7 linked regions of the Xenopus tropicalis genome follow. The main gene of each other region encodes a partner of the protein of the gene in region 2 in a complex. Links are inferred from orthologs where the notes say so. Each region holds a gene or a part of one and is shown on either strand. Other genes may lie near its edges. The genes, in order: cetn3, nup98, ranbp2, nup188, nup107, nup160 and nup93.

Evidence for each region.
Region 1: nup98 (region 2) and cetn3 share a complex: the UniProt entries of both Homo sapiens proteins name them as parts of the nuclear pore complex. The link is inferred for Xenopus tropicalis from reciprocal best matches to the Homo sapiens genes NUP98 and CETN3.
Region 3: nup98 (region 2) and ranbp2 share a complex: the UniProt entries of both Homo sapiens proteins name them as parts of the nuclear pore complex. The link is inferred for Xenopus tropicalis from reciprocal best matches to the Homo sapiens genes NUP98 and RANBP2.
Region 4: nup98 (region 2) and nup188 share a complex: the UniProt entries of both Homo sapiens proteins name them as parts of the nuclear pore complex. The link is inferred for Xenopus tropicalis from reciprocal best matches to the Homo sapiens genes NUP98 and NUP188.
Region 5: nup98 (region 2) and nup107 share a complex: the UniProt entries of both Homo sapiens proteins name them as parts of the nuclear pore complex. The link is inferred for Xenopus tropicalis from reciprocal best matches to the Homo sapiens genes NUP98 and NUP107.
Region 6: nup98 (region 2) and nup160 share a complex: the UniProt entries of both Homo sapiens proteins name them as parts of the nuclear pore complex. The link is inferred for Xenopus tropicalis from reciprocal best matches to the Homo sapiens genes NUP98 and NUP160.
Region 7: nup98 (region 2) and nup93 share a complex: the UniProt entries of both Homo sapiens proteins name them as parts of the nuclear pore complex. The link is inferred for Xenopus tropicalis from reciprocal best matches to the Homo sapiens genes NUP98 and NUP93.

What each region holds. Positions count from the first base shown.
Region 1 is NC_030677.2:178,970,795-178,975,088, reverse strand, and holds the start of cetn3 (centrin-3), read right to left. Parts: upstream 2,801-4,294; 5' UTR 2,775-2,800; coding exon 2,758-2,774; intron 1,375-2,757; coding exon 1,239-1,374; intron 198-1,238; coding exon 83-197; intron 1-82. UniProt on the Homo sapiens protein: Plays a fundamental role in microtubule-organizing center structure and function. As a component of the TREX-2 complex, involved in the export of mRNAs to the cytoplasm through the nuclear pores.
Region 2 is NC_030678.2:177,452,780-177,456,279, reverse strand, and holds part of nup98 (nuclear pore complex protein Nup98-Nup96), read left to right. Parts: intron 1-567; coding exon 568-652; coding exon of another isoform or gene 653-703; intron 704-2,857; coding exon 2,858-2,950; intron 2,951-3,223; coding exon 3,224-3,364; intron 3,365-3,484; coding exon 3,485-3,500. UniProt on the Homo sapiens protein: Plays a role in the nuclear pore complex (NPC) assembly and/or maintenance. NUP98 and NUP96 are involved in the bidirectional transport across the NPC. May anchor NUP153 and TPR to the NPC.
Region 3 is NC_030678.2:109,274,624-109,277,525, reverse strand, and holds part of ranbp2 (ranBP2-like and GRIP domain-containing protein 4), read left to right. Parts: intron 1-1,943; coding exon 1,944-2,118; intron 2,119-2,403; coding exon 2,404-2,508; intron 2,509-2,881; coding exon 2,882-2,902. UniProt on the Homo sapiens protein: E3 SUMO-protein ligase which facilitates SUMO1 and SUMO2 conjugation by UBE2I. Involved in transport factor (Ran-GTP, karyopherin)-mediated protein import via the F-G repeat-containing domain which acts as a docking site for substrates.
Region 4 is NC_030684.2:22,851,539-22,855,627, reverse strand, and holds the start of nup188 (nucleoporin NUP188 homolog), read left to right. Parts: upstream 1-1,289; 5' UTR 1,290-1,331; coding exon 1,332-1,360; intron 1,361-3,030; coding exon 3,031-3,085; intron 3,086-4,089. UniProt on the Homo sapiens protein: Component of the nuclear pore complex (NPC), a complex required for the trafficking across the nuclear envelope. Required for proper protein transport into the nucleus.
Region 5 is NC_030679.2:58,822,412-58,826,632, reverse strand, and holds the start of nup107 (nuclear pore complex protein Nup107), read right to left. Parts: upstream 2,801-4,221; 5' UTR 2,743-2,800; coding exon 2,645-2,742; intron 2,519-2,644; coding exon 2,427-2,518; intron 1,547-2,426; coding exon 1,466-1,546; intron 494-1,465; coding exon 378-493; intron 1-377. UniProt on the Homo sapiens protein: Plays a role in the nuclear pore complex (NPC) assembly and/or maintenance. Required for the assembly of peripheral proteins into the NPC. May anchor NUP62 to the NPC. Involved in nephrogenesis.
Region 6 is NC_030680.2:15,991,165-15,994,664, forward strand, and holds part of nup160 (nuclear pore complex protein Nup160), read left to right. Parts: coding exon 1-114; intron 115-366; coding exon 367-482; intron 483-561; coding exon 562-719; intron 720-1,553; coding exon 1,554-1,687; intron 1,688-1,872; coding exon 1,873-1,940; intron 1,941-2,040; coding exon 2,041-2,209; intron 2,210-3,072; coding exon 3,073-3,142; intron 3,143-3,238; coding exon 3,239-3,337; intron 3,338-3,470; coding exon 3,471-3,500. UniProt on the Homo sapiens protein: Functions as a component of the nuclear pore complex (NPC). Involved in poly(A)+ RNA transport.
Region 7 is NC_030680.2:43,632,648-43,636,147, reverse strand, and holds part of nup93 (nuclear pore complex protein Nup93), read right to left. Parts: intron 3,120-3,500; coding exon 2,954-3,119; intron 772-2,953; coding exon 678-771; intron 586-677; coding exon 394-585; intron 1-393. UniProt on the Homo sapiens protein: Plays a role in the nuclear pore complex (NPC) assembly and/or maintenance. May anchor nucleoporins, but not NUP153 and TPR, to the NPC. During renal development, regulates podocyte migration and proliferation through SMAD4 signaling.

The sequences.
Region 1 (4,294 bases), on a different chromosome or scaffold from region 2:
TTCACTGGGTGGGAATCTGGCTTGTGGCTGTTAAAAGTGATGCATAACTTAGGGTATGTTGCAGTCATGTTTTCCCACTTACCAACTTCATTAAAATCATCAAATGTAATTTTGCCTGTTGTTTCACCATCATAGTCTTTAAGGATTTTTAGGACATCTGCTTTTTTTACATCAAATCCCAGAGCTCGCATTGCTACCTGTAAATAAAATACATGATTATGTATGAAAAAACTCACCCTACTATCACCCTTGCAGGCCGTGTATTTTATTTATTATAAACAAGACCCTTGGTGCTGGCTGTGTTTTATTCTATATATATCTATCTATATATATATATATATATATATATATATATATATATATATATATATATATATATATTTATTACAAAAAAAAAAAAAAGACACCAGCAACACGGAAATTTGTTTAAACCACAAGACCCTTGGTGCTGGCTGTGTTTTATTCTATATATATCTATATATATATATATATATTTATTACAAAAAAAAAAAAAAAAAAAAGACACCAGCAACACGGAAACTGAAATGTACTGTTATATTTGTAATCCCTACTGATAACATCCCCAGCCTGCACCAACCACCTCTCCCCGCTTCCCCTGTATCCCCCAACCACTCTATAAACCTGCCTACTCCTACTCACCCAATCACTGCTTGATCCACCACCTCTGCATCACAACTTGCCCCTTTTTTACATCACAGCTCCTTAAGCCCTCAGACATCATCATGCTGCCACTTTTCCGTCTCGGCTGGTATTGCCCAAGAGAAAAGTTGGCAACCCTATCCCGTTTCCATACAATCAACCATTAACAGAGAGTCAGGCCATTTTAAGTATCATTTAAGGGCTGTGACACACGGGAAACTTCGGCGACATCGGCAAATCGCGCCGCCACGTATGCCATCCCATCGGCAATTTACATTCTAGTCGGTGGGATGGCATTTCGGGGAGATTAGTCGCCCGCGACAAGGAAGATTAATCTCCCCGTGTGTCACAGCCCTAAAACTCATCTTGTCATCAAATTTATAATCTAACCTGCAAACCACTTGGATCCCTAGCTGACACTGTAAAGCAATTACCCACAGCCAGATAAACAGAGAACCTCTACACCCAAACATGCCACCCCCACCTAATGACTCCCTCCTTTAAAGCCCCATGGCATGGATTCAGCTTGGCAGAACACTAAGAACACCAAGTCCAAATCTTGGAAAAAGTTTTATTACCTTTAATTCATGATAATCTATTGCTTTATCTTTGTCTGTATCGAATAATTCAAATGCATCTTTTATTTCCTGTTTCTGTTCTTCTGTTAATTCTCTTCTTTTCTTCTTTTTCGTTTTGTCAACTGCTAGATCAGTCCTGCGAGAGACGTGAGTTACTAACATAAAACATACAAAGCACATAACACTGAAACTGAATTTTCCTGTTACTCTGGCCTGGTGGTGGTTGCACTGTTTAACACTTTGTGTGCTGTGCCCTTTTGATCTTCCTGTTGCCATTAAACACACAGTGCAGCATATTTCAAAACAAATAACAGGCTGTTGCTGCTAGCGCAGTATGTGGCTTTTCAAGTATTACAGAACTACAACCCCCAAGTAGTTACAACTCCTCATCTAGTTAGCTGACATTTCTAAACACTTGGAATACAAGTGGGACAGATGTACTGTGTTCCAACCTGGGAATCTGTTCTAATCTGGGATACAACTAGATATACAAAGTGTTTATATTCAAGGATCTGCACACCTGTAGTAAATACCTGGAATGGTGGTTTTTAGCCTTATTTAGTTTACCTAAATAAGGAATAAGCATTGTACCTAAATCGCACCCTAATTCATATAAACTATTCCTGGCCCATAATTTAGGATAATGTACATTTTTACAGATGAGCCCAAAAATGATTTGTTCACTAGTGAAACACCAACATAAAATCCCAGAGTTGTCTCTAGTGAAAGATCCCTGTCCCCCGGCATAAGTCAGCTGTGATGATGGAACAGAACAGAAACATACAAGAAATGAGAGCATTTCCATATGCAGCTTGCCATACACGTAATGACTTGCCTGTGTGGTCAGGGCAACATTTGCATGGATCCTCCCTTAGTTCAGCCACCCACACAGAGAGCCAAATAGCCAAATGTACCCGTTTACGGTTTTGCATCCAGTCAGGGGCCAACCAGTTACTGTCTTTTTAAGAAAAGCCAAACTGCTCATGTATTGGCACACTTATTCACTCTATGGGCCAATAAAAGTGTATGGAATCCAGTGTAACATCTGTACCAGTTCTGTCTCTGCCGGCCCCCACTCTGATACACACTAATATATATATAATCACTTTATATTTCACTTTCACATTACAAAGGCATTTACACAGACAAGATAAGTTCTGACACAAAGTGCACCAATAAATAGCCCCCTGCTAAGGGAGACTGATGGGTAACAGTTTCAGGGGAAAGGAACACATACATGAGGCTCAGAGCACAAAAGGTAAGTCAAATGGCAAAGGACCTATTTGGCGTTACACTTGTAATTGTTAGTGTATTAATAAAGAATATCCAATCTGCAGCTCGCCAGCTGTTGTTTAACTGCAACTAACCCCATCACCATGTGGCGCTGAGAGTTTCAGTATAACAAAAGCTGGAAGTAGCACAGATAGGACACTGCTATTTTATATAAACCTAACTCTATAGGGGTCCCAGCCTTCCAGCGCTGTGAACCCCCTTTCCTTTGTGCTTCCAATGCACCCACCTCACAGCCAAGCTCATCGCTCCTCCGCTACAGACGCACAGCGCTGCCACACTCCCTCGGTCAGCCGGGGCTGCTGTCCCACTTACAGGCCTAGGCGCCACCTCGTAAACACAAGGCAGCGCCTCCGATTGGCTACCGTTACAACTTCTCCCCTAGCAACGGGATCAGCCTGGCACTAACAGCGCCTTGTGATTGGAGAGCAGTGAGGCGCTTGGGGGAGGTGCCGGAAAAATGAGCTGGTTACTAGGCAGTGACGTAACAAGGCGCTTGGAGTGTGACAAGGAGCGGGAAGCTCAAACTCATGCACAGTGCGAGAGAAATGCAAGCGGCCCCGTAACGCTTGAATAGTACACCTCCCGGCATGCTTCACTACCTTACAGCGAGCTAAAGCATGAAGGGAGCTGCCACCTAACCCACATATCAGGGCTGAATTTTAAAGTAAAAATGATAGAAATATATTTTGATAGTAACCCCATTCCTGTGTAAATCTGGTAACATACTTAGTTTGGATGATTTACTCATACCTTTTAGCAGCAATTCATGCTCCCTAATAGCTTCCACGTTTTTTTATTTTAATTGTGTGGTTGCCAGTTAGTGTAAACTATTCCCTAAAAATGAATATGGCTAGAAATGCCATATTTTATATAAAAAACTGACTGGACTGGCTTAAGGCTAATTTGGAGAGTAGTAGTCAGCACTAAGCCTTGTGATTAGTTAGAAGTAGTGCAGGTTCCCCAATGGCCACTTTCCATCGGCATATCCTGGTACAGAAGAACAGGAACAGCACCTCTTGTCTTTGTAAATTAAAATGCCTTTATTGCAAAGTTTTTTGGGGCAAACAACAACAGCAGCAACGTTTCAGGTCACATAAGACCTAAAGGTTGCTGCTGTTGTTCTTTGCCCCAAAAAACTTTGCAATAAAGGCATTTTAATTTACAAAGACAAGAGGTGCTGTTCCTGTTCTTCTGTACCTGGCTTAAGGCTAATGTCAGACCAGGCCGAATGAATAGAATACGCTCGGGTGCAGGCACATGTAGCCGATACCCATATAAAAACGCAAGAGAATGCAAAGTCTTGCACACGGGCGTATTACATACATTCGGATGCAGGCACAGGTAGTAGGTGTATGGCGGCATTTACGGCATTTTCAGGTTGCCAAAAATATACACCATACGCCTTGTCTGACATTAGCCAAAAGTTTCAGCATCTCTATAGTAGTAATAATATAGGTCTTTACAGTTGTCACAGGAGCTCCCCATTTTGGATTCTGTTAGAACTGTCGGGGGCAGTGCACATGTTCGGTGAGCTCTGAGAGGCAGTTGAGAAGCTGAGCTTAGGGGTCATTGCAAATTATCAAGCAGAAAATGACATATGTCTGTCATATAAGTGGATTCAACAGGGTTAATTATTCAGTTCTGATGCAGTTGCCCTTGTTTCAGATTGCCCTGGTTTTAATACTATATAGAGGAAAAGGAAATCATTTTTAAAAATTTGAATTATTTGCTTATAATGGAGTCTATGGAAGATGGCCTTCCTG
Region 2 (3,500 bases):
CCCTGGGAAAAGTTGAGAATAATATATATTATATTATATTAGATCCGGCACTCAAGCCAATCGGTCACAATAGCCTGGGTGCAGGTCCAGGTGAAGAATTAGATACAGCAGCAAAGAGATCCGCACTCACAGGACTTATAGAATTAATATGGAGTTTATGGTGTAGTCTTCTACACCATATTAATTCTATAAGTCCTGTGAGTTCGGATCTCTTCGCTGCTATCTGTATCATCATCTATAGGATATATCTATCCTATTAGGAAGTTATTCGGGAAGTTGGTCAGGCTTTTCCCATGGAAACCGAGTTTTAAAATGTCTTAATGTAAATGAAAAGAAAATGGAATCATTTGCAAATAGTATGAAGCCAGCAGATCAATTGAATGGAACATGTGAGAACAATAGCAGAGCCTGCTGGAATCTTTGAGGAAAGGACTGTTAGGAAGTAAATGATAGATCTTTAAGGGAGGGGCAGTTATGCTACAGATGTTGCCTTTCGTGTATTTGGACCCAGCTTGGCAGTCGTATAGTTAAATGAAAGTAACTTTTGTCTCTCTCTTCCCCTTCCAGACCCTGTTTGGTAACAAACCTGCTGGTTTCGGGACGACCACGACCAGTGCCCCTGCATTTGGCACTACGACTGGCGGGCTCTTTGGTAACAAACCAACCCTGACTTTAGGAACCAATACAAACACTTCCAATTTTGGTACATATGAGAAAACAAACCTGATGTAATCTCTAACATTACACTGGGTATACCACCTGTCCCGCTGCGCCAGACTAAACGCAGATGGATATCGGGCAGCGCTAGGACTGCACAGACTAACTGCTTAACTAGCAGGAGAATCTCTGTAATCTCCGCCTAATCTCCTATTAGTGCCAAGTGGAATGCTATTGCACCTACTGTCAGTATAATAGGCTATTGCCTTACCTGGCATAATGCATGTCCCTCGCCGTGCCCAGAGCTTTCATCATTCCGTGCAATGGAACAGCTTGGAGTTTGCCAACATAAGCGCTAGTTATTGCCCCAATGTGTGGCGTTCATGCACGGTAATGTTCGGCTTACCCACAATCCTCTGATTTTCTCTGCTGCAGTTCACAGGTTATTGGTGCCTGGCATGGCCACGTGTGCACTATCACTACTAACCTAGTGAAGCCTCCTAGTGTGGTATACACAGTGTATCCGAGCACTTCACCTCTCGCACTCTAAGAGGGAGTTTTATAGCCTTTTCTCTTCTAAATAAACTCGGCAATACAATTATATAGGGTTACATTTCCATTTCTCATTTTGGTATAACTGAACTGTAATTGTCTTTACCTGCATTCTTTTCTTTTACCTGCTTTACTTTCTCCCTAACTCTCTGCCTGAATTTAGGTTTAATGTTTGCATGATCAATGTCTGTTAACTAATTTTGCATTGGGCACCGTGAGTTTGTGTTGCCCTCCAGCGGGAAAGGGGGTCGGAAATTACACAAAAATAAGAATATATGAATGCATTTTGCCTCTAAGAAGGCAATAGCTGATGGAGGCTTCAGGGTATTCTGCCATTGCCCGCTAAGGCTCAGATCTTAGTATCCCACAGAAGTGCCCTGGGGTTCTGGTGATATTGCTCACAATGAGGCTTCTACCCTTAATTGCCACCATTGGGTCCTAGCAGAGGTATTTCAAGCCTGGGTCTGTTCAACAGAGTTAATAATGCAAGCACAACTGCAAGGGGTTAATATGCAGTGAACTTAATGATTGGCCGATGTCCAGTACCCTAAAAGGGTCACTTTTTATCCTGGGGGGGGGCTCTCCCACAGCACTTGGCTTTGCTGATGAAGCTTCAATGTGTTTTTCATCAAAACTCCCCATAATAGGTCATTCCTCTGCCCCATTACCCCCATAGGTCATTCCGCTGCCCCATAATTTTACCCCTGCAGTTATATTGGGAAAAGTGATAGACATTTTAAAACCAGTGCCCTAATCATTGGGCGCTCTGCTGCAAACTCTGCTCCAATCCCTATGCTTGTTGGGCTGATAATTGATCATGTGTAATATATATCCTGTGCTGGTTGTTATGACTATGCCAATGAAAAGGTTTGTCCAGTTATCCCATTACGGTTAGAACGAGGGATGCACCAAATCAATTATTTTGGGCTTTGGGTTGGAGAAAAAAGGGTGGATTGTTTCAATGTTTGTGACAAAAATTCACTTTATTTTAAGGGTGTAGACACACACACACACACACAGAGCTACTAGTAGAGCAGCTACTTGTCGTGACTACTAAACTAGACAATGCTGGTCACTAATAATTGTCCCTATGTGTGTTATAGCAGAGGCAATTCTCAATATTGTCTATAGCAGGGGATTTTCTGGAGTGCAGTAGCCTTGGAAAAAATAGCTGCTACTAGTAGCCCAGTGTGCCTTCACCCTAAGGGTTCTGATTGATTTCATGAACTGGATTTGATGTTCCTAGTTAGAGCCTATGAGATGTACATGTTTCATGGCCCTGCTACACAAGTATTGACTGTTCAACTGAAGATTTGATTTTATTAATGCAGAATAGCAAATACTGAAACACTAAAAGCAGGATTAATATTCTCATTGGGGGCAAAAGTCCGATTTCTCTGTAGAACCTCACCCAGATATGATTCCTTTCTCTCAATTCCAGTAAGTACGTGCAGGGCCCAGAGCGTAACCTTGTCTGGCTTTAGTGCTCCGCTAGGGGAAATGCACTTGTAACTGGCACTAAATGGCTTTGGGATCTGCTGAAATTGGGATATTTATGGGTTTTCCTCTCTACTCTTGGTGATTCACAAATGCCATTTTAGAACTGTAAATGTTTAAAGGAGCTGACCCGTCTATATTTGTCCTAAAGGGTTTGGTTCAAACACAGCAGGAACCAGCCTGTTTGGCAATAAGACAGCAACGGGAACCATCGGGCCGAGCCTTGGGACGGGCTTTGGAACAGGTAAAATTGAAAAATGTTTCTAATATAGTTAGTTAGCAAAAAATCTAGATGGGCAGATGTCTAACATAATGGCCAGAACTGACTAGGGGGCACCACATGGGACAATTCCCATAGAAGGCAATGGGAACAGCTTTGTGTCTGTTGGCACAACATGATTGTGCTGCTTATAAATGTGCTTTTGCCACGGCTTTTCTTGCCAATAGTTGGGTGCATATAGGAAAACTGCAATGTGTGGTTCAAGGAGAGGAATAATTAATTCTTGACTTTTTGTAGCGCTAAACCCCGGGCAGACATCTTTGTTTGGGAGCAACCAGCCGAAGCTGACTGGTACACTTGGTACGGGAGCGTTCGGCAATGCCGGGTTTAACAGTACCTCAGCAGGCCTGGGATTTGGAGCGCCTCAGGCCCCAGTCGGTGAGTGCTGTCTTTTTATAGGAGAAAACTAACCTTTTGAGCACCAGGGCTAATTTACTGTTATCTTTAATTTGCTGTTTTACTTTGCCTTGAACTCTTCTTATTACTTGTGTCTCACAGCAGCCCTGTCTGATCC
Region 3 (2,902 bases), about 68 Mb from region 2:
CATATTAATAACACTGCCAAAACCTGCCGTTTTTTTCTCCGCAATATTGCCAATATACGCCCCTTTCTTTCACAAGTAACTGCTAAAACACTAATACATGCCCTTATCCTTTCCCTCTTAGATTACTGCAATCTCCTACTAACTGGCCTCCCAGACTCCCACCTCTCTCCCCTGCAATCAATTTTAAACTCTGCTGCCAGGATCCTCCTGCTCTCTCCGAAGAGGGAACCTGTTCAGCCTTAATTAAGCTCTCTAGCATGGTTGCCTGTTAAGCAAAGGATAGCTTACAAAATCCTTCTGCTAACATTCAAAGCCCTTCACTCCTCTGCTCCTCTGCTCCTCACTACATTTCTTCACTGGTTTCCCTGCATGTTCCTGGTCTTCTTCTCCGCTCCTCTCAGAGCCTCCGTCTTTTTACACCATTCACACCCACTGTGCTCTCTTCTTAAACCTTTCTATCTCGCTGCTCCTTACCTCTGGAACTCTATCCCTGAATCCCTCCATAGGAAACACTCCCACCCACGCTCAGCTGTTACCTTCTGGAGCACTAAGACCTTATTTTGCCCATACCTGGTGCACTCTTACCTTCCAGTTTGTGCCTGTATGTTACCCAACCACTTAGATTGTAACTCTACGGGGCAGGGACCTCCTTCCTACTGTGTCTCATACCACATGGCACTTATATATATTTATTGTATTTATTTATTATATCACTTGTCCTCCCTGTGTGTAATTTTGTATTCTGTAAGATTGTACAGTGCTGCGTACCCTTGTGGCGCTTTATAAATAAAGTTATACATACAAACAAACAAACAAACAAAGCGACCACTGTTGTGTTTCATAGTAAAGCAATCAGGTACAACAGAGTTTTAAAACCATTCCTAAGCAGTACAAAGCATTACATTCTACTGTAAACCAGCAGTTTTTCTTCATGGCCCCAGAAGGGAACTAGTTATAATTGAATTTACTAACATAGACAATCACAAGCATACACAATATTAAATGAAGGTATAGTTGCCCTGTAATGAATATGTATTGTACAGGTATAGGACCCATTATCCAGAATGCTCGGGACCAAGGGTATTCCGGATAAGGGGTCTTTCCGTAATTTGGATCTCCATACCTTAAGTCTACTAAAAAATCAATAAAACAATAATTAAACCCAATAGGATTGTTTTACATCCAATAAGGATTAATTATATCTTAGTTGGAATCAATTACAAGGTACTGTTTTATTTCTACATAGAAAAAGGAAATCCGTTTTAAAATTCTGAATTATTTGATTAAAATGGAGTCTATGGGAGACGGGCATTCTGTAATTCGGAGCTTTCTGGATAACGGGTTTCCGGATAAGGGGTCCGATACCTGTACTAGTGCACTTCCACTTAAACATGTAAACACAGTATTACATTGTGTTTTTAGGAGAACCTAAAACATTTTTCTTTTGAGTCTAGCCCTTTCAGGATTATAGACTTTGAAAATAAGCTCATTGGCAGTAAAGGGAAATTAATTGTCTATAATATAGGCTGGCATGTTACGCTTTTTATGTAAAAGCCATAGCACCCCACAGCAGCAAAAAGCGGCTTAAAGAATAGAAACCAACCCCTACCAACGGTACCACCAAATCCCATATTTTAACAATTAAGGTATAGGACAAGGATTCTTTTAACTCTTCAAGAGAAGATGTTGCAGTGGGTACTGTAAGTAATATATTACTATCCGATAGACTTGCAGTACAACTTGTTGATGCTGTGGGGAGTAGTGGCATAAAAGTATAGGAATTGTGTGAGAAAGGAGAAGTTGTCAGAGATGTAGCTTCAGTGATCAGGAGTGGCAGTTGTCTGCACATAAATGCAAAATGTGGGAGAGGGACATGATGTAAAAATGATGAGGAATTTGGGTTTTTTAATTACGTGTTTATCATTTGTTTTTAATTATTCCAGGGAGTTCCAGAAAAAGATGTAAATAGTTCCTATGAAGCTCCAATAGTGTGTGCAGCTAAAACCAGTGTCTCCCTGCCCCCAAAACAAGAGCCTGATTCCACTACAATCATTTCCCAGGAGCCTGTAGACTTGTCCTCAAAACAGGAGCTACCCAAAACAGACTCCACCAGCAAAGGTATTCCTACACAGTGATGTGGATTTGTTTAGATCTTGACATACTGTATATTCAGTTTATGAATCCAGTATTTAAGAAGCTTGTGTAAGTCGACAATGCATTGGTCCGATATACAATAGCAATAATATACATGGCTTTAATAAAGAATTTGAATTCTCTTTTTAATAAAGCAAGCCCAAAGTTTCATACAAGTAAATGTAATGTATATATTTTATTATAGTAGTTTTATATACTGTAATGGAAATATCACTTGGCTGTATTTGAAAGTTTTCTTTATTTTCACAGGATTTTCTGCTTCTAGTTTCTCCTTTGGGCTTGGTACAGTTTCCGGAGTGTCATTTGCAGATTTAGCATCGGAAAATTCTGGGGATTATGCCTTTGGTTCTAAAGGTAAAGTTAAATAGTTTCTTACAAACTAATATATGACAAGGGGCACAGAGCAGTTTTGGACATTTTGTTCTCAACCTCCCTTCATGCTAAAACACACTCTTAGAAAACCTGAAGTTATCCTTACTGTTGCTCATTTTTTTTTTTTATTTATTACTTATAGACATCAGAAGAGCAAAAATTCAATAAGTGGCATGATGGTTGCTCTGTTTATGGGGTACTGTTGATTGTTGGCTTAAATGCAGATGTCCTCAAAACAACTGAGGGTATTTTATTACCAGACAAAAGATGCAGAAATAGAATGCAAGAAAATACACTGTTATCTGAAAGCTGATCACATATTTTGACATTAATATGTTGCTTCTTGCTTTTGTAGATACCAGCTTCCAGTGGGCCA
Region 4 (4,089 bases), on a different chromosome or scaffold from region 2:
CTTTCTTCTGCAAGTGCCGATATGCTAACTGAATCTCAATGTACAAATGGCCACTTCTTTGGTTTGCATGATCTTTGTACATACAGTCATTGGTCACACCTACAAACAAAACATTCCATATGTAAGTTACAAAGACACCCCTCCATTTCAATCCTTCCCAGCAATCTTTTCTGCTGCCCTGGGCAGGTGCTTGCAATTAGCGATTATAATTACTGGGGGGGTGGGGGTGCCTAACAAATTACTCTCCAACCCAATGATTTACCCTTTATTTATTATACAAGTCAGCCACCTTAGATCAAATGCAGTGGGAATATAAGTTGAGTGCTTGGGGCTTCTGGATGTGAATGCCCAGTGTGTGACCCAATGCATTCTCTTCTGGACAGTCAGAACACACCTGCACCATATTCTAACTTTGATCCAAATGTTTTCACTGGATGATCGAGAAAATCATATCATAATATAAAATAAGTCAGTGCAGCAAGACCCATCAACCAACCAGAGATAAACTTAGATATTCTTCTTTCCTTCAGAGGAATAGTCCACGTTAATGGCTGATTGGTTGCTATGGGATACTGCACTGAGCAAACCAGCCCATGGATTATTATAAATAGAAAGAGAATACACTTGAGGGATCAAATAGAAATATTTTGTTTATAGTTAAATAAGGCCCATTCCACCATACAGGTCCCAGAATCAGCAATCCCCATGGCTACACAGGACTCCTTTCAAACGAAACACCCTTTTTATACCAGAACAGGGTAAAAACGAACATATTGATTAAATACATCATTTATTAGGGTCTAGTGCCCATTAACCAGAATGGAGGAGAACTATATCTACTAATGTAACATGGGTTGTAACACCACATTCAGATCATTGTATGCTACAGACAGTTTATAATGTTAAACCAATAAATAGGATTTTTTCCTTTCAATTGCATTAGCGGAAGCCTTCTTGCTCCTTGGGACGAGGGCAGCAGTAATGCATTAGGGGAAGTGCCCTCCAAACAATGAGTCAGTCTATTAACTCATAACAACACAACAAAAGCCTCCGGGCAGCAGAACACCATACGGGGTATATGGGCAATATATGGGCAAGGCAGCAGTGACACAGGGTTAGGGCGAAGGTGAAAGATCTTTGTGCAGCTTCCATTCTCTCACCTACCTTGGCCGCCACCATCTTTAGTCCGGGCGGAGGAGCACTAGTGCAGTCACCCAATCAGCTGACTTCCGCCAGGGCAGGAGCATCACGTGATATACGCACCGCGCTGCTGGAGAAGTGGGGGGGGGGCTTGGGCTCGTCACGTGTGAGGCCGTGAAGGGGGCGTGAAGATGGCGGCGGCCGGGTGTCTGTACCGGAGGTACCGGGGAGAGGAGGGTTTTGGAAGGGGATGTGAATTCCGAGCGACACTGGAAGCTGCAGCGGCAGCATATATAGAATTTAAAGGGAGAAGGGAGGGAAGTTGGTTCCCAGGGGACAGAGGGAAGTCAGTGCGAGTGAGTCAGTCCATGTGGGAAGCAACAGGGAATAGGAATATTGCTGGGCAGCCCGGCGCTATATGGGGAGAGCTTTATATGGCCATGTGGTTATATGAATGGAAATATCCGGCACTGACATTAGAAGAGCGGTTAGAAACTTTCTCAGGGCTAACCGGACTGTACCATTTTCTCTCTGACAGGGGCACATGCTTCAGATGAAAGCAAGCCGTGTTGTGCCGTTCGGAGACCTGGATTAATCACTGTATAAGTCATTTGCAAAAGCAAAATGATAGTGTTTTCTCCTGGACTTGGTCCCCTGGACAGGGCAGAGACTCTCCTGGTCCCCTGTCTGGCTGGCTGCGGGCAAGGCAGAGAGTTGCCCCCCTGTCTGGCTGCGGGCAAGGCAGAGAGTTGCCCCCCTGTCTGGCTGCGGGCAAGGCAGAGAGTTGCCCCCCTGTCTGGCTGCGGGCAAGGCAGAGAGTTGCCCCCCTGTCTGGCTGCGGGCAAGGCAGAGAGTTGCCCCCCTGTCTGGCTGCGGACAAGGCAGAGAGTTGCCCCCCTGTCTGGCTGCGGACAAGGCAGAGAGTTGCCCCCCTGTCTGGCTGGGGGCAGGGCAGAGTTGCCCCCCCTGTCTGGCTGCGGACAAGGCAGAGAGTTGCCCCCCTGTCTGGCTGCGGGCAAGGCAGAGTTGCCCCCCTGTCTGGCTGGGGGCAGGGCAGAGTTGCCCCCCTGTCTGGCTGGGGGCAGGGCAGAGTTGCCCCCCTGTCTGGCTGGGGGCAGGGCAGAGTTGCCCCCCTGCCTGGCTGGGGGCAGGGCAGAGTTGCCCCCCTGTCTGGCTGCGGACAAGGCAGAGAGTTGCCCCCCTGTCTGGCTGCGGGCAAGGCAGAGAGTTGCCCCCCTGTCTGGCTGCGGGCAAGGCAGAGAGTTGCCCCCCTGTCTGGCTGCGGACAAGGCAGAGAGTTGCCCCCCTGTCTGGCTGCGGACAAGGCAGAGAGTTGCCCCCCTGTCTGGCTGTGGACAAGGCAGAGAGTTGCCCCCCTGTCTGGCTGGGGGCAGGGCAGAGTTGCCCCCCCTGTCTGGCTGTGGACAAGGCAGAGAGTTGCCCCCCTGTCTGGCTGCGGGCAAGGCAGAGTTGCCCCCCTGTCTGGCTGGGGGCAGGGCAGAGTTGCCCCCCTGTCTGGCTGGGGGCAGGGCAGAGTTGCCCCCCTGCCTGGCTGGGGGCAGGGCAGAGTTGCCCCCCTGCCTGGCTGGGGGCAGGGCAGAGTTGCCCCCCTGCCTGGCTGGGGGCAGGGCAGAGTTGCCCCCCTGCCTGGCTGGGGGCAGGGCAGAGTTGCCCCCCTGCCTGGCTGGGGGCAGGGCAGAGTTGCCCCCCTGCCTGGCTGGGGGCAGGGCAGAGTTGCCCCGCTGTCTGGCTGATGTAGCAGTTGTTTCATAGTTGGGATCTTGGTTGACTTATTACCAGTCATGGGCCAAGGTTCTACCCTGATATATCTTGTATTATTCTCTTTATTCCACCCATGTACAAAAACCATGTGCTTGTTTGTGTTGACAGGACCAGCCGAGAGTTATGGACCATTCTGCTTGGACGCTCTTCCATGAAAGATGGGGTAAGTGCCAGCTTCTTTGCCTTTCAAGTGCATCTATTTTTGCAGGTTCTTTATGTGTACGCCCATACATGCATGTATTCCTCTGCTTTACAGGAGAGAGTTAGGAGCATCTATAAGTTGAGAGTAAATTATCATTATGGCATTTCTCAAGCGAGAGGGATTATGGCAGCAAAGCTCATATGCTGAGCCTTCCTGAGTAGCTTGATGTGGAGATTGGGAATTATAAAAATGCTTAATTTGGTTATAGCGGAATATTTCGGAATTAGGGAGAGAATGTGATTCCTGTAGCAGAGATAATGACATTAGCCCTCGGGGAGTCAGTAGGTTGTGCAGAAATAGGAAGCCGTTGTCGGTCCACCATTTGAAGGATATGTCATTTATCCCTGGGACAAAGTCTGGGTTTCCAATCAAGAGTTGTATGTGGATGCATGAAGTATGAGAGATTAGCTTATGTTTTACAAAAGATCAAAGACGAAGATGGAATTTGATTATAGGATTTGTGATATTATACTTTTGTGTGTTCACATGATTTGCCCATAACAAAGAAAAGAGCTTAAGAGGGTATATGCGTGCATTTTCAAATTCAACCCATCTAAGGGGGCTATGTGTGTGGTGCCATTGAATAAGCTGGGCGACTCTAGCTGTTTGTAAGTTCGGGACTTTTCAGACCGCCCTGTTTATATAATTGGTAGAGAATGTTTTTATTTATTCTATGAGATTTGTTACCACAAATGAAATTCCAGCCAGTTCTTTGTAGGTGAGATAGCTTTGCTGTGCCAATATAGATGGGAAGGGCTCTGGAAGCATATAACAATTTAGGCAAGAAAACCATTTGGGTGGCTGCAATCCGGCCTAGCCAGGAAATTGCATATTTAGACCAGTTCTCTAATAACTTACTAAGGGGCCAGAAAAGAGAGGAAAAATTGGCATTGTATAACGTGATGTATGACTTTGTAATCTTGACTCCTAGGTAGTTTACGGAGTTCTGAATTGCTCATGCTTTT
Region 5 (4,221 bases), on a different chromosome or scaffold from region 2:
CACAAAATACGTATAGGATAAATCACATGAAAGAGAAACTGAAGACTAAAGGTGGCCATACACTGTAAGATTCACTGGTTTGGCAAGGTCACCAAAAGAGCGGATCTTCTTCCAATTACCCACCTTAGGTGGGCAATATTGGGCCAATTAGACAGTGCCGTCGGACCGAGGACCGCATCGGCTTGTTCATCCAATGGAAAAATCAAACCTGTCGGAATCTGCACAATTTTAGGCCAGATGTCAGTTGGCTAGGCTTGTCGGGGGTTCCCATACACGGGCAGATAAGCTGCCCCTAAGGCCTTAAGGACCTGAATCGGCAGCTGAAATCTGCCTGTGTTGTGCCGCCTTAATGCCTTCTGTAGAATGGATTGTCTTACCATAGACATGTTTGCCAAACGCCCAGGAGTCTGTACCAAGCGAGGTGATCGCCCTACAGTGCCCAGTATTGCCGAAACATCTGGTGGCCTTGAAGAATTCCAGGTTTGTGGCGTCACTAGGTAAAGGTGAAAAGTACATTTACATACCAGAAAGCAAAAAAAAAAAAAAAAGACTTTCACAGCATAAATACTATGTTCAGTATTACTTTTTTCTTATATCCAAACTGTAATAAACTGCAGCTCTGACAAAATCCTTAAGCCATATTTTGAAAAGAGAGATGAGCTTTCCATAGATAAGGGTTGTTTACTGTGGGGGATACGGGTTGTCATTCCCCCAAAATATCGTCAGAGGCTCTTGCATGAACTTCACGAAGGCCATCCAGGTGTAAACAGGATGAAAGCACGAGCTCGTGTTACAGAAGCACAAGCAGTACACTGACTTACAAAAAATTCTATATCTTGATCCAGGCCTGGCCACCACAGGTAACCACAAGCTTGTGCTTTCATCCTGTTTACACCTGGATGGCCTTCGTGAAGTTCATGCAAGAGCCTCTGACGATATTTTAGGGGGAATGACAACCCGTATCCCCCACAGTAAACAACCTTGATCTATGGAAAGCTCATCTCTCTTTTCAAGATATGGCTTAAGGATTTTGTCAGAGCTGTAGTTCGAGAGACCCTCTCTCAGCATTATAAATCTCATCCTCGCCCCCACTGTAATAAACTGCTGGCTAGCAGTGGGTTAATACTGCGGCTGTGTTAGTTCAGGTAAAGTAGTCAGATACACACTGGAACTTTTGGTATATTTATTAGAACATGGCAGGTAGATTTGGCCTGCTCTCAGCTTAACAGGAAGCACAAGACAGGAATAGGAATATCATCATCAAGAAATGGCAAAACAGCAAGAATGCCCTTAACCAAAATGTCTACACAAGCAGGTTACTATACAAACTCATCTGAATTTTATAATAACCATGACTGAATGCTGATATTTGTAAAACACAAGTCAGTGGGACAGTTTCTACAAGATGAATCAAACAAGCCCATGATTATCAACTGCAGACCCAGTTTATATATAAACATCTTACTGTGCTGTCGAAATAGTGTTTGTCCTGTTGTGCGAGATAATGGGCCTCTTGCTGGTGTTGCATTGCTCCAGCTCTCATCAGCTAGGCAAGACGTTAAGTGTGGCAACAAAAGCTTTTTCTGGAATCAGTTCAATATTTCCTCTCTAAACAGTACCAGGGAAACAAGCAAGCACCGGGAAAATATTAGCCGACTTTCCAGCTTAAAGTAACTAATCATTATTGTTGTTTGCGTTTCTTATTACACTGTAATTGCATTGCCCATGCATAGCCTCAGAACAAAAAAAGAACAAAAAAGTGCAATACTGGTTCTGTTGCATTCATGTAAGGCAAAAAGTCAGGGAGTCATGACGGGGAATGCCTAAGAGACAGGGTTAACCATGTTATTTGCTTTAGAGACATGTAGGATAATGTAATAAAGGCTTAAGTTTGGTCACACATATTAACCCATAGCAGTAAGTGCTACATGCTGATTGGCTCCTATGGATTACAAGACAAGACGCATTTATTAAATTAACCCATCAAAGACAATAAAAGGCCTATTACTGTGTTTTTGGTGCAGGTACTGCTATCAAACATCTGTGGTCCATAAACAGCCTGTTAATATTAATAAAAACCCACCCAACCTACTCCTACGATGGGTTATTTCCTTAATTAGAGTAATACTCAGACACTGCAAACTTAAATATACTATCACATTTAATCAACACAGATTTAAAAATGAAGCCTTAACCATTTAAAACAAAGGGGACTCAATAAAGGAGGGGCCCTTCCATTGATTTTAGAAAAAAATGACATGCAAAACATAAACACTAATCACAAAGAAATTATAGTAATAGATAAATGACAACCAAAAATTTCTGTTAACTTCCAATGTCATTTTTGTTTGATCAAAAGCCTTCCCGTTTGATATTATTGGGGACACCAGTGATTTGTGATGATAGTTCACATTACAAAAGGATACCAGGATTCCTCCTGTTGGAGCTTTGGCGGCGAGCTGCTCTAGAAACCTCTGCCTCCCGCACTACCGGCGAAAGCATATCCATGCTGGTCCTGCTGCAAGAGAGCACAACACGGGGTCAGTCCTTCCTATGTTCGATGTGTATTCTGTGAGAAAGTCCCGCTATGATGCACACAAGGTTGCAAACATGTAACAGAAAAGTCTAGCAGACCGATACATACAGGCTAGAGGGAGAACAGTCCTTCAGTCTACTCAATAGAACGGGACTAAAACTTCTGTGAATAAGCCAGAAGTACCGAAAGCTGCAGAGAGAGAACATGTAGGTACCGTAAGCTCCCGCCCTCCCATTCAAAGTGTGCAGCGTACTGACAGCAGGGACCCTGACTAACCCCTAACTGAATACTACCCAACAGTCCCGCTTGTCGATCCCGATTTTCGTAACACAGCCAGCAGCCGCAGATTGCTACTTACACCTTTGCTACTTACTCCTCCCGTAAAGCTGTTAATTGCAAGCTCCTAGCCTCCTGTCTTACAGAAAATCCCGACTCCACATGTCTCCTCACGCGAGACTGTGACGTACAACTACACGCAAGCGTCGTGACGCATCACGTAGCCGCCTTATGGGAGTGACGAGCAGAGACAGTGCGCTACCCAGTAAGGCGGCGTTACACAATTGGTAGCTGCTAATAAGTAGCTTGGATTTGTTCTGCTCGCACTTCCTACTTTTGTTGGAGAACAAAAAGGGAAAAAAAAGACTCTTCTTAGGAGGTGATTGCTCTCCTCCACCTCGAATCTCAATATTTCCTCCAAGTCAATTATCTTTTCTGCTCAGAGATCCTTGTCATTGCCAGGGAGCTAAAAAAGAGTTTCCTGGTTGCTAACGGTACCGGCTGCCGTCAGAACCTTTTCTCCCAGTCTGACCAAAAAGGGAAGAGTTATTGTGAAAACTAGGGCCAAGTGAAATGAGGTCATGTTTTTAGGGGTTTTTTTGTACTTTGAGGGTTCTGGTGGTTTTGTGCAAACTAAGGGCTGATTTAGTAGAAGACTTAGAGGCAGGCCAAGCTTTAAGCTGGCGATTGATGAGACTAATAACCTTATAAACTAATAACCCAAAGGCTGCAAAATCTACGTTAAAGGCTGAATCGGTAGATTGGATACCTCCATATCTGACAATTCAGCTTTGAATGAAAGTGGTCGCAGGAAATAGCATAATTGCATAATTGTATTGCCACCTTTAGGCAACCTGGCCGACCACCTCACCCCCGCTGCAACCCCATCTGTGAATGAATGCACGTGGACATTGTGAAGGGGGGGAAGTGCTGCGCGCAAGGTGTGCAGACTTTGTGGGGGTGGAGCATCAGGGGCAGGGGGTAAGAGATCCCAGACCAGGAGTTGGCAAAAGCAGTACCTGTAGCATTCATGTGTAGGGGATCAGAGAACTCGATTGGCTGGATGTCCCAGTGCAGTCTGGGAGGAGGTGTGCTTAAGTTTGGAGCCAAAAATCAAGGGGCGGGTCCAGCAGTTGATAAAGGGAGCCCCTGTTGTTTTGCTGGTTTTTTTGGGAAGAGAGATACAGAGTGAGCAGCCAGTACCACTTGTTGTTAGTTCAGATTGAAAAGAGAAGAGTCTGCAGGGTTGCCAGTGATTACAAAGTCCTCTGTGGAATCAGTGTGTGTCCCCTGGTGAGAACAGTTATTGCTTGCTTGCCTGCTACGTGGGAGCAGCAACCTTTCCATAGGGGAAGGTACTCTGGGGCAGGTAGTGCTACCTGAGGGGAACTCTTGGGGAAGGGACTGAA
Region 6 (3,500 bases), on a different chromosome or scaffold from region 2:
AGCAGATTATATTACCGAAGACATGGCATATCAGATGGAGAGTGCGTGCTGCCACCCACAGTCACCAGAGAGAGTTGCAGAGCAGATTTTGGAAGATTTGATAGCCAATGACATGTAAGGAAATAAGAATTGTTATCTGTGCCAGTCGCACATCATCTGTAAAGCCCTGCTTGCTACAGTGTTTTATGGTAGAGCAGCAGTAAGCAGGATATTCCTTGTAGGTTACTATTTCAGCACCAATTTAAAAAAAGCACAACCAAACTGTCCTGATTTAGAAAAAGTGTAACGTGTAAAATTTGATTTAAATTGCTTTATTAGGTAAAATACAGACTGTAAAATATCTGTTTGTTTTTTTATGAACACTAGAGACAACATCATGGAAAATATTCAGAATAAACTGCAGGACATCAGGAATCCAATACAAGCTATTAGTTTCTTGCTTCAAAATATGGATTATGAAACCAACATGGACATGGAACAGTGTAAGTCTGGGTTTCTGCAAAGTTTTGTGTGTTTATAAAAGACTGCATTTTAATGGTGTATTTAATGGGTCTGTTTCAGCGCAACATAATGTGAGACTGAATCTTTCTACTCTTTATGGGAGTGTTACTGCTTCCAGTGTGGTATGTCAAGCCATTTACAAAATCTCTGCCACAAGATTCTTAATATGTCGGGACTTGCTTATTCTTCAGCACCTCTTGCTGAGGCTAGGGGACATGGTGAGTACAATTCCACAGCCATTTAAAAAAACTTAATTGTAAAAACAAAATAGCTTTCTCTTTTTTTATGGTTATATTCTAGATACAGCACTCTGTAAAGTGGCCCACGTCCTCCCGCCAATCTATGCCCCTTTAATACAGGACAGAACCTAATTTCCCATATCACTACTTACTGCCATTGCTTCCTACAGCCAAGTCTACAAGGACTCCTAAGTCCTTCTCCATAATGGATTTGTCTAGTGCAGTCCCATTAAGGGTATAAGAGGCTGCATATTTTTAAATTCCAAATGCATAACCTAACATTTAGCAACATTGAATCTCAGCTGCCACTTAGCCAGATTGCTAGTTGATTTAAGAACTCTAAGAACCCTACTTCAAGAATGTTTCAATGACAACCACTCCCTGTACACAATTCTTTTTCCTGTCTATGTACAAACAACATTACCAAGACCAACAGTTCCCCTGAAACAATGTCACACATATGCACAATGAGCAAGCTGAAACACTCCTCATTATTTGCATGCTTTGAGTCCCAAGATGGCTGCCCCAGCTGGGACCTCTCTCTCTCTGTGAGTGGCATAGCACTCACTACAAGCATTTTTTGCCTAAAATAGTTTCCTCTAGTATGAGTGCAGGGTCCATTAGCCCTCACCTCTGGTGAAAGAAACTTTTTCTTTGAAATATTCTCCTGTACATAAACTATACATAAACTATATTGAAAACCTGTCAGTCATTGGCAATACGTACAAATATTTTAGTTTGTCGTGGATTGGGACAATCCCATTGAAAAGGGGTGTTACATAACCGATCCTTTTTTTTTTTATCTTTTGTTAGGCACTGGTTGGAGCAGGGCAGCTTCTTCATTCTCAGCAGGAACTTATCCCTCGCGCCGCTCAACTGCTTTTGTCCTATTACATGATCCGCTGGGGGAGCCAGTGTTTGGCCTGTGCTGTCCCAGTAGATTTATTGTAAGTTTTTTTTTTGTTTTTTGGGTTTTTTTCCAAGATAAAAATGACAATAATACAGTTTATATAATTTTAGTATTGTGTTTAATCACATCAATTGTTTTCCACTGAGTCATGACAATATATGCAAATCGGATCTATTTGTTGATTCTAAAATAAACACAGAGCGCTATTTGCCTTCCTTATAGAGAGTCCAACCTGCAGCACCTCTCAGTTTTGGAGCTTTCTGATTCTCAAGTAGAGAAGCGCAGATACAGTAAGTATTGATTTCTTGAACTTTTTTATCTTAAAGGAGTCTTTATCTTAAAGTTTTCAGCGCTCTTCATGCATTACAGTTTAATTTTTTTCCCCATTAGCCAGTGGAATCCAGACCATTGTGGAATTGTTTTTTGAAGATGTAGGAAGAAAACATTTCCCTCAAGTTTTTGCCCACCTTTTCATTCAATCTGGTTCAAGTCAGGTGCACAGATCTTTAAACTGGGCCGATCTTATACATCGCATTACCAGCTACCTCCTACAACTTCTGTATCCTTGCCTGTGTGCCATCTGCACTCATTTTACTGTAAAAACAGTAGTTTTACCTTTAGATTGTGTTGGGAGTATGAGGTAGACAGATATTCATAGTGTCATATTATTTTTTGTGGTTATTGAATTATTTACATTTTTTTCCCAGCAGCTCTCCAGTTAGTATGGTCCAGTTTGCCCTCACAACAAGGCAGCAGTTGACATTAGGGGGGCAACAGGGGGCTAGTTCACGTTCCTGGACTGTTGGGGAGTGGACTGTAGTTAGTCCTCAAACTATTGCGTTGGGCGGTGAGACGTGGTGACGTGTGGCAGACAGGTAGTAGCCAGAGGCGAGGACACAGCGGGGGCCGGGTAAATGACCTTGGGGAGCTGTATACGGCCAATGGGCTGTAGTTTGAGGACCCCTGCATTAGAGGATCTTACCGAGCCAATCTTAGGTCCATCCGCAGAGCACTGTGGTGTGGGCGTAACACTTCACATAAGACTTGTGCCCAGGGGCAGGGTGCAAGGTACTAAAAACATGCAGTTTTGTGCTCGTACTTTGCACCCTGTCCTGCTCTTAGTAAGTGAGTCTTCCAATTTTAAGTGTAAGTTTAAATTGTAACCAAAATACCATGCACACAGTGGTTTTATTAGCAATTGATACATAATAAAGTGGAAACTTGCAGGCAGATGTTTATAGCTGTCAGTCATAGCTTTCCATTCAAATAAATGAAGGTTAGAAACAATGTTTTGCTCTGGGCTAAAGGGTAATGTTATTGGACAGTTGTGACCTCACTTTCTGGTTAACTCTGATAGGGTATCTCTCTTGACTGTTCTTTTATTGGCTTTGGTCCTGTTCCTTAACCCCAGCCACATACCAGATGGCCCAGTAACCCTAACTTCCAGTTTGCAGAATGCCTGATGAGAAACTGCCAATACACACAGCTCCAGGTAAAGATGTAGTTTATTCTCCTACACATGACTTTATAAAGTCAATTAAATTATCCTGCAATTTGTTCATTTTTTTTTTCTTGCCCTTTCATCTAGGAATATGTCCGGCTGCTTTTACCATGGTGCCAAGTTAATGTTGGTTCCTGCCATTTCATGTTGGCCCAGTGTTACTTGGTTGCTGGAGAAGGACACAAGGTGAAACTCTGCTAATAACATTCTTATGACAACTCTATTTGTGCATCATACCTATTGGGGTCCAGCTCCATGTGATACAGAGCATAGTATTCCTATTTTCCAGTAGGTGTTAATTTCTCCTTATTATCCACAGGCTTTAGATTGTTTCAGTCAAGCAGCCTCC
Region 7 (3,500 bases), on a different chromosome or scaffold from region 2:
AGAGATAATGTGATGACTGATATATAAACCATGTGTCCAGTATAGAAACCTTCCATTTCATGCTCTGTTGTAAGGGGACTTGCAGAAATAATTATAATGAACATACTAGTGATCTGAACAACACATAGAAGATGAACAATCTATACTCCCTGACAGAAATAGACCCCCACTGAGAAATGTGTCTTCCACACAAAAAGCCCACTAGTGGTGTGGATGGCATTGCTAGGGCCTTTGCATGCACAGCAAGTGTTTCGGCTCACTAAATATGTTCATGTGTGTTGCCTGATTTTAGGACCATGCAGTTTGTGACACAAACAAAGAAAATCCAACTTTTTCAAACATACACTACAAAAAGCCATTAAGCACTGAGTGAATGCTTGCAAATTTACTTACATAACTGTGCACTTTGCCCTGTTGACTTCAGAAGCAATTTCAGCTCAAACAGAGCAAGTGCCACATGCACAGCATGACAACGTGTACGTTCCAAACGAAACAAAAAAGCAATAGCTGCCTCAAACTGAGCTGTCAGGAAGAGGACTTGGAAGTATAGGTACGGCTGTTGATTAACAGCAAAGTGAGATTCACCTAGAAGTACAAAGTATAAATAATATTAAGATCATGCGTTTTATGTGTATGTATGTGTGTACATATATAAATATATATATATAATATCTTACCGTAGTCCTCAAATAGCTGCTTTTGAAACTGTGGCAATGTCAGCCTGTCTTGAGGAGAACTGTTAGCTTCATCTTCAAAACAAACCTGACTTAACTGGACAAAAAATACAAAATTGTGAACACTGGAATCCTTGACCTTTAAGATGAATAGGTTTGGTTTCAAACAAAACCTGACAACTGCACAGGGAAAACCATAGTGATTGGGCACACTGGAATCTACGAGTGAAAGGTTAAAAGGGTTCCAAAACAGGCAAGCAACCAATAAAATGGAATGAGGTGCTTCATAAAATTAGAGGAAAAAAAATCAGGGGATACCAGCAGATACACAGACAAAACGATATATACCAGTCTTAACCAAACATAATATTAATTTGTAGTGTCTCCCCACCAAAACATAAGACTGCTATTCAGCCTTTACTCTTCCTATTCTCTATACTCTGTACTCTATACCTATTCTTCCATGAATCTATCATCAGCTTTATTTATATAGCACCAGCAAGTTATGCAGCACTTTACATTAATACAGAACAAATGAGGAACTTACATTGATTTAAGAAACAGGTTACAGCAATGCTGTCCAACTTCTGTGGTGCCGAGGGCCGGAATTTTTCCGGCCTACATGGCGGAGGGCCGATAATGGAAGACAGTTTTGACCACTCCCCCTTTTTTAAACCACACCCATGTTATCACATGAGCATACCCATATTAATGTTGGTAGTACAGCAAAAACCTGCCATGCTCTGCCTTCCCTACCGTGCCTCTGTGTGCCATACTCTGCCTGCCCTATGTTGCCTGTGTGTGCTATACTCTGCCTTCCCTACCCTGCCTGTGTGTTCCATACTCTGCCTTCCCTACCCTGCCTGTGTGCCATACTCTGCCTGCCCTATGTATGCTGCCTGTGTGCCATACTCTGCCTGACCTACCCTGCCTGTGTGTGCCACACTCTGCCTGCCCTATGCTGCCTGTGTATGGGACACACAGGCAGCATAGGGCAGAGTATGACACACACAGGCAGTATACAGTGACACAATGCTGGCACTGCTCCTACAGTCTGCACACTAACTATATATTAAAACAACTTTTTAATTTCAGTACCACCTCAGTAAATGTTCTTTTTGTAGTGTGCAGGGTTTATTTGTGGGCATCTACTGCTCCTACAGTCTGTCTGAGGTGTGAACAGGTGAACAATGTGGGGGCTTACAGCCTGAGCCTGCAGTGTGAACAATGTAAGGATTAAAAAATGTGAACAACACAGGGGATTACATTTTTAAACAATACAGGGGGTTTACAGCCTGAATCTGGGGTGTGAGCAATGCAGGGGGGCAGTTAATCACAGTACTGATACCATTTAAAGCTTACAGAAAGGTAAGCCATCAAAGCAGCCAGACAAGTGGGGGCCACACAGAGGGGGGTCATGCAGCCTGCGGCCCCAAGTTGGACAGCACTGGGTTACAAAATAAGAACTCATTGCCCTGTTCAAAGCTTAACTTAAAAGCTAAACCTATGGTTTTCTGCTATTACCCAGCAATTTTATGAGTTTGTGGTCTCTATTGTTTCTTCGATCTTAGAAATATACACACACAAAAGGACTGGAATAGACAAACTACTGAGGCCAATATCACATGGGGAGATTTGCTGCCCTCGGTTAAATCTGGGATACCGCAAATGACAAATCCCCCACAAATGCTTTCTTACGGCTTGCAAAGAAACTTCAGGTGACTTCAGAAAACAAAGTGCTGTGTACGCTTTCCCACTGGCGATTTACTTTATTGATAGTGGGAAAGCATTTGAGAGATTTGTCACCCCCAGCCGAGGTTTAACCACGGGCAACAAATCTCACTATGTGTTATTGGCCTCAGTAGTTTATCCACTCCAATTCTGCTGTGCAGGAAACATATACAAATGTAATAGTTGCCCTTTTGTGATTAACGAACAGTTTACTGTGGGCACCAAATCTCCCTGTGTACCAGTAGCCTTAGGGCTAAGACACACAGAGCTACTTAGTAGCAGGTACTTGTCATGGCTACAAATCACCAGAAAATACCCTGCCATAGACAATAATGAGAATTGTCTCATTATGATTGCTAAATCACACGTAGAGACAATTAGTAAATTATCAGCATTGTCTATTTTTGTAGCTGTGACAAGTAAGTAGCTCTGAGTATTAGCACTAATACTACACTATACTGTGCCACTTTTGTTGCCTACAGCACTGTGAATATTATGCTTACATATTGAATTTTTAAAGAGACAATACTTATTAAAGCATGACTCACCTTTAGCCACAAGTAATCCTCTGTCTTATCAGCCACTTCACTGTGGTTATCGGTTACATCACATCTTCCAATTATGCAGTACACAACTCTTTTGTAAGGGTCAGTGCTTGCCCTTACAGCTCTTCTGTAATGTAGGCGAAGCTTGTTCTCTGTTGTTGGAGATAACCTACAGGAATAAAATTCATACACTATAAAAAATTCTTTGAATCAACGAAGTGCAGCACAGAAGAAAACACTGTGCTGGAATATCTTTTCACCACTCCTGATGTTGTAATTCTACAGGTGTAATATTTAATCATCTAGAGTGTTTTATGTGGTTCAGTTCAAGGAAGAATTAACAAATTATTATGGACATAATATATAATTATATTGGAAAGTCCAGGCAATTTCTAAGATTCCATTAAAGGAAAAGTAACACTAAAATTTTTTAAGTAGTAAATCTATTCTACCCTGCCCCAATAATTGCCCTATCCTGCAAACCATTTAGTATTTTTAGAAAATACCTTCTAAAAGTTGGCTTCCGGTCATTTGAAATAAGGCGATATGG